Arabidopsis thaliana: one gene and its partner. The protein of the gene in region 2 interacts with the protein of the main gene of each other region in a pairwise test. Each region holds a gene or a part of one and is shown on either strand. Other genes may lie near its edges. The genes, in order: AT1G04960 and AT1G34750.

Region 1 (5,673 bases), about 11 Mb from region 2:
CCTGAAAGGACATCCAAAGAGAAGGTACAGAAAGATCAATATGCTGATACCAGAAAACTCACCTCAAGAACACAAAGACATGATTAGAAAAAGAAGGTAACCTGCATGATCTCTCGGACACGATACTCAACATCAGGAGCAAGCATAAGAGCAGCTTCAGGTAACAAGTTGGTAATCCCAATACTTTGAGCTATTACCTCAACCGTTTCCTTAGGTACAATGCTCATCTTCCCCAGGCTGCTTATCCACTGTGGCGATACAAGGACACAGAAGAAACATCAACAGTGGTTATATTAAGTAAGAAAAAAGCACAAAAAATCATTGGAACCTCCCAATTAAACCATTGTTGGGCATACACAATGAATCGCAATTCAACAGCCCAGAAGACAAAGGCTGCTTCCATACTCCGTAAAAGTGTGAAATTTGTCCCGTTAACCAAAATTCGAGCACAAAAATAAGTTGGAAATTTACATGAACCGGAGAGGGATTTGCGTTGAGCGACGAAGATCCAGACACTTCACTTGAGAGGAAAGAAGCTCCGATTAACCGATGCCAAGCCTCTTGTTAATATAAGAAGCCGGGCCGGGTTTTTTAATTGCTGTCAAATTCACCCGGTTGGACTATTTCGGGTTAAATTAAATTTGGGCTGTCTCTATATCTATTTTGGGCCAAGGCCCAATAAGAGCGAAATATTTTATTTCTCTGCCAACTAAAGACAATTAATCCTACGAGAAAGGACGAAACAAATGTTTCAAGACAGTAGTTCTGTCTTCTGTGGTAGTTCTTTCTATTTTCTACACAAACAAAATTGATCCAAACACAAAAGGAAAAAGGAGCACAAAAGTCCAAATCAATGAAGACATCAACATACGTGAAAGCCTTAATCACACTCTTTCTTTACAAACATCAAGACCAAATATAATTAGGGGCAAACCAAATTGTTGGTGGATGCAATAACATATGTAGATTTTTCTTCTTTTTACATGAAAAAATAATTGCCAGTCCCAGTATCAGAATTTGGGACGAATACAAGCAATTTCTTTGTATATCAACCAAAATAATATTAGGATAGTCCTGAAACATCCCGTACCCAAGATATTCCACCTGGAAACGCTCTATGAACTCTGCTTCTTCCCGCTGCAGTGACTTTTGTTTTTTCCCCCATCACCATAATTTCTTTCGCCATAACCGGCTTGTGTATTACATTTGCATCCTCTTTGCCTTCCGTCAGAAACCGCAGACCCTGGAGTTTCCATAGTTTTATAGTTTTAGAAAGCCAAAGAAACATCATGACATGAAATCATCAAATAACAGCTACTACCACAAGTATTTTCAGGTTCCAATTTTTATTCGAATAAGCTTGATGAGAGATTGCCTTGAATATATGCAAATTCAAGATCAACCATCTCGTTGAATTTTTTCACTATAAGCAACTTTTTTGCGTCAACAGAATGGAAATGCACATTTATATGATGGAAAAAGGTATAGTAGCATTCTTACAGAGAGAGAAGTATTAGTGGATGGTTTTCCATCAATAGGTAATCTCTCACCAACATCCTAAACCACAAAGCCAGAAACAAGATTTTTTTCATTAAGGCCTATAACTACGTGAAAAATAAGTAAGAAAACGTTTCACTTAATTTGTAAGTTAACACTCACCTGAAATACTTTAGTACTTGTGCTGTCTTTAACGCCTGCAACTTGACATAGATGCCATAGTCCAGAGAGGGTCACATCCTAAAATTTTAACAAAAAAAATATCTGTTTGAGATCAATTAGTTTTAAGAAAATTGATAGCGTGAAGTGGTTTGTAGTATCTAATGGTTGTAGACAAATTACTTGTTTGCTTTCAAGACTTTCAATCTTCCCTTCCTGTAAAAATTTCATATAAGAGAGTAAAGATATATTAGCCCCTTTAAAATATGCATATTAGAGGGCAATGATGCATATTAGAGGGCAATGATGAGACTTACTATTCCAGAAATCATTTCATTAAGTTGCTTAAAATCAAACCCAATTTGCGAAATGCTTGATCTCATCTCAGTAACCTGAATTGAAGCAAGATTCCATGTGAGCATTAGCATTAAAATGAATATCAAAGAAAGGCATAGATGGAGTAAATCGCAGATATGAGAATCAAGCTGTAATTTGAAAGAAACAAAGGACTCTACTGTACATGTGAAGAAAAACAGTTCAGGGCCAAAGAGATAGGACGTTAATAAATAAATACTCTACAATCTTTTGGAATTCCTAAATGTGTTTTAAATTCTTCTAAGATGTTAAATGTACAAGAGGAGATCTCTCTCAGACGAATGTATAAGTATCCTAATCTTAAGTCTAAGGAAAAAATAAGGCATCAATACAAGAAAGTGAGAAATAAAACGGGTTCCTTACATCACTTAAGATCATTTTAGATGTCTCATTCTGCTCTTCCACCTTCCAATCCAAGGTCGCTAGCTTCTGAGAAAGATGTTTCCTTGTTGACTGCGTAAACAAATGCACTAGGTCAAAAAATCATAATGAAATAGAATATATAACAGAGGAAGGTCTCAAAAAAATTATTTGTTCACCGCTAATGTGTCTGACAAATCGTCTAGTTGTTTCGAAACAGAGGCAACCGCATCAGCCATATTTTTCTTTGTCACAAACATTGCATCTGAAAACGACCAGCCCTGCAATGTGGGTAAACCTTAGAAGTCAATGATATATAGTTTACCGGTAAACCACATGTTACAAAACTATAACAAAAGACACATGAAACATAGAGAAAAATAGACAGATTTTAAAGAGATAAACACCTTCCACCACATGTAGCAGTACCCCATAGCTCCAACGGCAGCCGCTGGAACCAGGTAAGATGCATAGCCTACAAGAGCAAAAGCAAAGATTATATCATTCTCTGTTTCTCATAAAAAATAAACATATTTGAAACATTTCCTACATTATCAAAAGTAGTACATAAATATTTTATGAGAAACTAAGACTTGTACATACCACTGGAGTTTGAATCTCCATTAAAGATGGTAACTGGATTGGTCATAGTTAGTTCTTTGATCTCGTTTGCAAGCTGTCGAATCTGGTTATCAAGAGACAACAAAAATTATGTCACTAAGAGGGGAGTCCAGTATTGGCCTAGTGATAAAGAGTGATGAATTATTTTCTATTCCGATTGTTTATGTTGGATCGATGAGAAAAATAAGCTTACAGAGCAAAAGAAAATGAAATACCTGAGCAGCAAGGAGTGCACCGTCATACTTAAAAGGAGTGCTTTCAACTCCTTGAGCACCATTGAGTAAGTCTTGAAGTTGGGCTATTAGGTCAGACAACCTCCCATGTCTCAATACGATCGAACCAGATACACCTTGGACATGATGAAAACAGAACCAAGTGTCATTAAAGGTCATTAAATGGAACATCCAAGCTAGAATAACTAAATCATTCTTGCTACATCCAAGCTGTATTACCATCAAAACTACACTAACGATTGAAGATTAGAAGTTCTGGACCATTTTAGCAAAGTGATCAATCAATTTGCCAAGATAAATTCAAACCCTAACTCTTCATAAAACAATTCCCTAGATTAGAGAGTCAAAGCAATACGAATCGAATTTGATTACAACAAGCAAAGATAATAAAACAAGCATCAAAGTGAGAAAGAGACCTGCGCCGAGTAGGATAAGGACCTTAGAGGTCTGAACACCGGCTTGCATCGCCATGAATTCCGGTTACAAGCTGAAAAAGATTCTCGATTAATTCTCTGTTCCGTGTCGCCAAGCCACCGCGAGAGACCAATTATGACACCCTTTTGCCCTTTAGACCTCAATTTTAGCTTTGATTTACCACAAAGATAAATACTTTTCAAAACTTATGTTCTTACCCCCGAAGCTTCCAATTTTAATCGAACTATTGTCCTTAGACACATATTAGAATATTTAACACCACTTGAGCTTATATACATATCAAACGTTAATATGTACAGTATATACAATTACATATGTATTTATACTTTTATTGCCCTATAGACCTCAGCTTTAGCTTTGATTGACCAGAAACATTAATATTTTAACAATTTATGTATTCACCCCAAACACTTCCTTTTGAATCAGATTACCCCAGAAGGCAATGCAAATCGAATGACTAAGGTTATTTTAGACATTTCTCAATAATCCAAACCATTACGCAACTTCACTGTATTAACCTGTTTTCTTCATCGAAGAAGATAGAGAGACCAAAACAAAAAAAGCTTTGAATATCCGCCATGGATGTTGGACGATGCTTTCTCTTTCTTCTATTACCAAGTTTCTTCTTCTTGCCTTCACAAACGCAGAGCACCGATTCATTCACATCGGTTCTCGTATCTCAAAACGGACTCGATTTCGTCAAAAATCTTCTAGTTAACAAAGCTATCGCGTCGATTATACCTCTCCAGATTCCCAGAATTGAGAAATCTATGAAAATCCCGTTCCTTGGAGGAATCGATGTTGTTGTCTCGAATCTCACGATATACGAGCTTGACGTTGCGTCATCTTATGTTAAGCTTGGTGAGACAGGTGTTGTCATCGTCGCTTCAGGGACGACTTGTAATTTGAGTATGAATTGGCATTATTCTTACAGTACTTGGCTTCCTCCTATTGAAATATCTGATCAGGGTATTGCATCTGTTCAGGTAATTATGATCAATTTTACTAATTCTTAGTTTTGATCATCTCAATCTTGTGAATCAATGGAAAGACAAGATTTTTCTTGCGAATCACAAATTTCTGTTCTGTTTTGTATCCTTATGTTTCGTGATTGTTATATGTCTTAGAACATAGTTGCATATGGGAATCAGAGGTGACTGTTGCTCTCTGTTTACCATTTCCATGTGTTGGTTTTAGTTGTTGCTGTGATCTGCTCATTTTTATATCTGTTTTACAAAGGGAATTTGATGAGTGCTGATTCTCGCCTTCTCGGTAAGGTTCAAGGCATGGAAATCGGGCTCTCTCTAGGCTTGAAAAGTGATGAAGGAGGCTTAAAACTTTCTCTTTCGGAATGTGGATGCCATGTGGAAGACATTACCATTGAGTTGGAAGGAGGAGCATCATGGTTTTATCAGGGGTACGAAATAATTTGCTTATTGATGATAGATCCACTCCCTCTTATTGCAAGACAGGTGTTGGTTTGTTTTTCATTTTAAACTTCATTCTCTTCTCTGCAATTCAGGATGGTTAATGCATTTAAAGACCAAATTGGGTCAAGTGTGGAAAGTACCATTGCCAAGAAACTCACGGAAGGAGTATCAGACCTTGATTCATTCCTACAAAGCCTTCCAAAGGAAATCCCAGTGGATGATAATGCTGACCTTAATGTCACTTTCACCAGTGATCCTATATTGAGAAATTCATCTATCACTTTTGAGATTGATGGCTTGTTCACCAAAGGAGAAACAAATCAAGTCTTAAAATCCTTCTTCAAAAAGTCTGTATCTTTAGTTATCTGCCCTGGAAATTCTAAAATGCTCGGAATTTCAGTTGACGAAGCTGTTTTTAACTCTGCTGCAGCTTTGTACTATAATGTAAGTTCCTAATTTCCTAATTCCTTAGGTTCCAACTAGAAAGAATGCTCTTGATAAAACTGTTCTATATGTTTCCGATACATCAATATTACTGTTTTCCACCGTTGTTTCTAATATGA
Region 2 (4,597 bases):
GAGTACTTTTTCAAACTTTGTACCACTGCCTTCTCTTTCTGAACCCTTATGTTGTCAATTAGAGAATTTTGTACCATAGTCTATTGCCGATGATTGATAACTCTATCTTTATCAACACAAAATATCATATACGAAGCATATGTTACTTCGATTTAATGCAAGATAAAATTGAACAACATATAGAGGCGATCGTAAGTTAAATGTTGATATTATCTTGTTTTTCTATCAAAACACATATGTTTAATTTATTAACTTAGTTATATTAATACTTTTTACATTTTGACCCTTCGCTTAATAAATTTCATTTGATGTCTATAATACGATACACTTTAAGAGATTCAAGTATTTACTCTAAAAATATGTAAATTATTCTAATATCTAATTGTGTAATGTATGGGCGAGTAGTTTTTACCAATGGAGAATCACAAATAGTTTTTACAAATTAATTAATTTATATTGAATATTTTTGGTTGTCGATGTATTCGAAATATGTTTTGGTTGTTAATAAATTTTTCAACTATGTTTTTTTTAAGATAAACACAGTTTATTTACCAATGAAGAATCACAAATAGTTTTTATAAATTGTTTAATTTCTATTGAATTTTTTTTCGGTTGATTAAAATATATGAGCGAGTATATTATCGGAAAAAAACAAACATTGTAAACGAAAAAAAAAACAACGAAAATAGAGAACTGTTTAATAACATAGATCAGAAGAAGCACACAGCTTTTTATATACACTCCCCACCCACTTGAGAGTAATCTTCTCATGGTTTTATACACCAAATCTGATATGATTCATTTTCACTTACACAAACCACAAAAAAAAAAATCCAATCAAATTACCAAACATTGCGCAAACCAATCAACCATTCTACACCGGAGGTAAAAAAACACAAGTAAAAATATCTTCTACTCTTCAAAATCAAACTTATTTATTTGGTTTCTTCCATTTCTAGTTGTTCCATCTTTTTTCCTTGGTGGGTTTCAAAAGATCTTTCATCACCTTAATCTGACGACAATGCAAGAAATATCATCTTTACTGTCTCTTCTAAGCGCTTCGGTTGTTAGTTCTTTCGCTGCTTTCAATGGATCTTTGATTCTTCTCGCAATATCAATCGCCTCTTGGTTAGCCATCACCTACACATTTACACATCAAAACCGTTTTAATCCAAAAACGCCAACCAGTTCCTTCACAAATCACAAACATCATTGTTTACCTTCCATAGACCGTCACTAGCAAGAACAAGAACATCTGTGTGATCATCGATCGATGAATCTTTAACGTCAGGATCTGACCGTAGATGTGTTTTGAGGCTTTTGTCTCCAAAAGCACGAGAAACCGCTAGCTGCCCGTTAACCCGAGGGACATCTCCTGCAAAAAAAAAACAGAACATAAAACATGTGTTGGGATAACTTTTATCTGAATTTGATACGTTTTGGTATTATCTGTAGGACCGCGAAATCCTGATTTGCAATAAATCAAACATCTTTATAAAACGATTAGGAAAGACGGTTTTCAAAAACGAGTGAAGGAGAAGACTAACCTGGCATGTTGGATACAAAGCCTCCTTTACCCTCGATGCTCAACCTTTCAGTGTGCGGCTCATGATCAATAGTCATCTGTATTGCCTGACCTCCTTGAGATAGAACCGCCCGAGAATCACCCACATTTGCCACCCATAAACGCCGTCCATTCATCAGAATAGCGGTTACAGCCGTTGAGCCACCACGGCCTAAGTCAGAAGAATGTGACAGAATGGCTTGGTCTGTCTTCTCATAGGCAGCAATTATTGATCTCTGAGGATCATACCTAAACTGCTCCTGAACACACACACACACCGTTTCAAACACGAGCCAGTAGATGCAGTGAAGAGCCTATATAATAGTGAAAATTTCTACACACCTCTTTGAGGATATTGGAGAACAAATGCTTCTGTAGATAAGCAGGAACACGTTCACCCAAATGACCATCGTAGATTGCAAACAAACCGAGCTCGTTACCGTCTATTTTCACGAATTTAGACACATGATAATCCTCCATTGGATGATTAGCTTTCCCTTTCACTAAGCTGTAACCGAATTTAATCTCGCCGTCGTTATTTCTCCCTTTTCCAGAACTAGTCGATGCCCTCCCAACCACAAGCTACACCAACCAACAAAGACAAATTCATATCTCATAATTGTTCAACATTAGACACAAAATGTTTAAGACATCTCTCAAACTCAACAAGACATAGTACCATCTTAACCACTTATTGGCCCAAGAGAAAAGAAAAAAAAGACAAGATTTGAGATTACATACATCGTAGTCTGAAGAACCGAAGCAACATAACTTCGCCATGAGAGTCAGATGTTCCACAAAAATCTACTCAAAGATTTCAACAACCTGCAAAAACCGAACTTTTCAGAAACCCCCAAAAAAACATAGAAGTCCTTTTAATAAAACAAAACACGAAATCAGAAAGAACCCACATAAGGATTACCTCAAAATCGGAGAACCCAGGTTCCAAAAACCATAAAGAAGGGATAATTTTGGAGCCTACCAGTACGCGGCTTGAGAGCAATACCGTGAAGAAAGGGTTATTGACAGACTCTGCAAATGTACTTTATTCAAAAGTCTTCGATAAAAAAACCACGGAATTAGTGGAAGACGACGACTACTACGACGAGTAGACTTCAATTTTTGCTGTTTTTTTTCCATTAGAAATGAAAAACAAATCTCTTTCCTTGTTATTGGGTTCGTTGGTTGACTTTTTTGCCGTGTCTTAAAAGCAGAGTCGCTCTGGCTTTGTCCTCTTGTTTTCAATATGATTTAAATATTGTTAACTGGTTTAAGAGAGTAATCAGACATGTTATGTATCCATTCATTTGCTAAACGACGTCATTCTCAATTAAAGAAAACTCTTGAAATCATTAATTAGCATTCTCAAAAAAATCATGAACTTTCAAATTTGGGATAAAAAAACGTGAACTTTCGAAATGCCACTAAAATCATAAAGTTTCGTTTGACTTTTGATAAAATAATTAAGTTTCGTTGACTTTGCTATTTTGGACATGTCGTTAAGTTTTCGTTAACAACAAAACAACGGAGTTAACTTTTCGTTAACATTTTCCGTTAGAAGCGAAACGATGTCGTTTCAAAATGAAAATATATTACACAATATGTGCCAAGAAGGAATCAAACTCATGACTCTCCAGAATTATTACAAGCGCTCAACCAAATATGCTACGATAACGTTTTGATATTATTGTAAACTGAAATATTTATATATATACACAAAACTAATTAAAAATAACTTGTGAAATATAGAACGGGAAAAATGTCAAAAAAACATAAACTTTCAAATTTGGGATGAACAAAACATGAACTTCAAAAATGCCACTAAAATCGTAAAGTTTTGTTTGACTTTTAATAAAATAGTAAAGTTTCGTTGACTTCGCCATTTTAGACATGTCGTTAAGTTTCCGTTAACAAAAAAAATACAGCGTTAATTTTCCGTTTAATATGTTCTGTTACAGACGAAACGACGTCGTTTGAAAATCTAAAATAAAATAACGATTGTGAGTCCACGAAAATCTAAAATAAAATAACGACGTCGATCCAGATACGTATTGTTTTCCTCAGATGCACTCAACCATTGGGGCCACGATATTATTCTAGTACAGATTGCAAACGGATCTATATAACATATACGTATGCAATTAATTAAAAATAACCAAATATGTACAAATATTAAATATACATACCATAAATATACATTTCGAAATATCATATTTTTAATTTTACATATAGAGATTTCTTCTAAATGCATTGAATTTTTATCTGAAAATTTATTTTTTCTTCATTTTATTTTATGAAAAAAATTGAAACTTATGAAATTAGAAAATAGGCTAAAATTTATACAATCCTTCTCAAATAAATATAGGATTAATTTATACATGCACATAGAATTTTATTCAATTTAATTTTATAAATATTTTTAATTATAAAAACATATCTATTCGATAAATTAACTTGTAATATATATATATATATATATATATAAGATAAACATAAAATATAATCATTCCATCTTCAAATAATTAAATGTGATGTTCATAATTAGATGGAAACAATATAAGAAACCATTTATTTAGGCAATATATTTCATTTTCTCTATTTCATATGTTTCTTTTTTTATATAATTTAAGAAAGAATAATTTAAATTAAATGCATTAATATAGATCTTTGTTTGGTTATTTTTAATTAATTGTATATTTATATCTTATATATATATGTGTTTTTCATTTTGTTAATATGTTCTCGTGGCTCAGTGGTTTAATGATTCTTTGAAAGGCAAAAGACCATAGGTTCGAATCCTTGTGGGTTTACTTTTTTCTTTTATTTAGAATTTCAAAACGACGTCGTTTCACTTTTAACAGAAAATGGTAACGGAGTGTTAATTCTGTGATTTTTTTGTTAACGGAAACTTAACGAGATGCCCGAAATGGCAAAGTCAACGAAACTTGACTATTTAATCAAAAGTCAAACAAAACTTTACGATTTTAATGGCATTTTGAAAGTTTATGTTTTTTCTTCCCAAATTTGAAAGTT

What was found.
Region 1: the proteins of AT1G34750 (region 2) and AT1G04960 interact in a protein complementation assay, tested with the Arabidopsis thaliana proteins (one large-scale study listed by BioGRID).

Annotation. Positions count from the first base shown.
Region 1 is NC_003070.9:1,406,958-1,412,630, forward strand, and holds AT1G04960 (golgin family A protein (DUF1664)), read right to left. Parts: upstream 3,912-5,673; 5' UTR 3,717-3,911; coding exon of another isoform or gene 3,662-3,716; 5' UTR 3,468-3,661; coding exon 3,228-3,467; intron 3,077-3,227; coding exon 2,995-3,076; intron 2,867-2,994; coding exon 2,799-2,866; intron 2,673-2,798; coding exon 2,571-2,672; intron 2,485-2,570; coding exon 2,395-2,484; intron 2,049-2,394; coding exon 1,974-2,048; intron 1,873-1,973; coding exon 1,840-1,872; intron 1,738-1,839; coding exon 1,660-1,737; intron 1,558-1,659; coding exon 1,501-1,557; intron 1,244-1,500; coding exon 1,064-1,243; 3' UTR 815-1,063; downstream 1-814. Other genes in the region: TAFII59 (TATA BOX ASSOCIATED FACTOR II 59), read right to left, coding at 1-1, 102-227; AT1G04970 (lipid-binding serum glycoprotein family protein), read left to right, coding at 4,259-4,666, 4,958-5,097, 5,203-5,554.
Region 2 is NC_003070.9:12,735,384-12,739,980, forward strand, and holds AT1G34750 (Protein phosphatase 2C family protein), read right to left. Parts: upstream 2,814-4,597; 5' UTR 2,487-2,813; exon of another isoform or gene 2,390-2,486; 5' UTR 2,345-2,389; coding exon 2,306-2,344; intron 2,147-2,305; coding exon 1,907-2,146; intron 1,825-1,906; coding exon 1,548-1,824; intron 1,376-1,547; coding exon 1,221-1,375; coding exon of another isoform or gene 1,194-1,220; exon of another isoform or gene 1,141-1,193; coding exon 1,003-1,140; 3' UTR 617-1,002; downstream 1-616.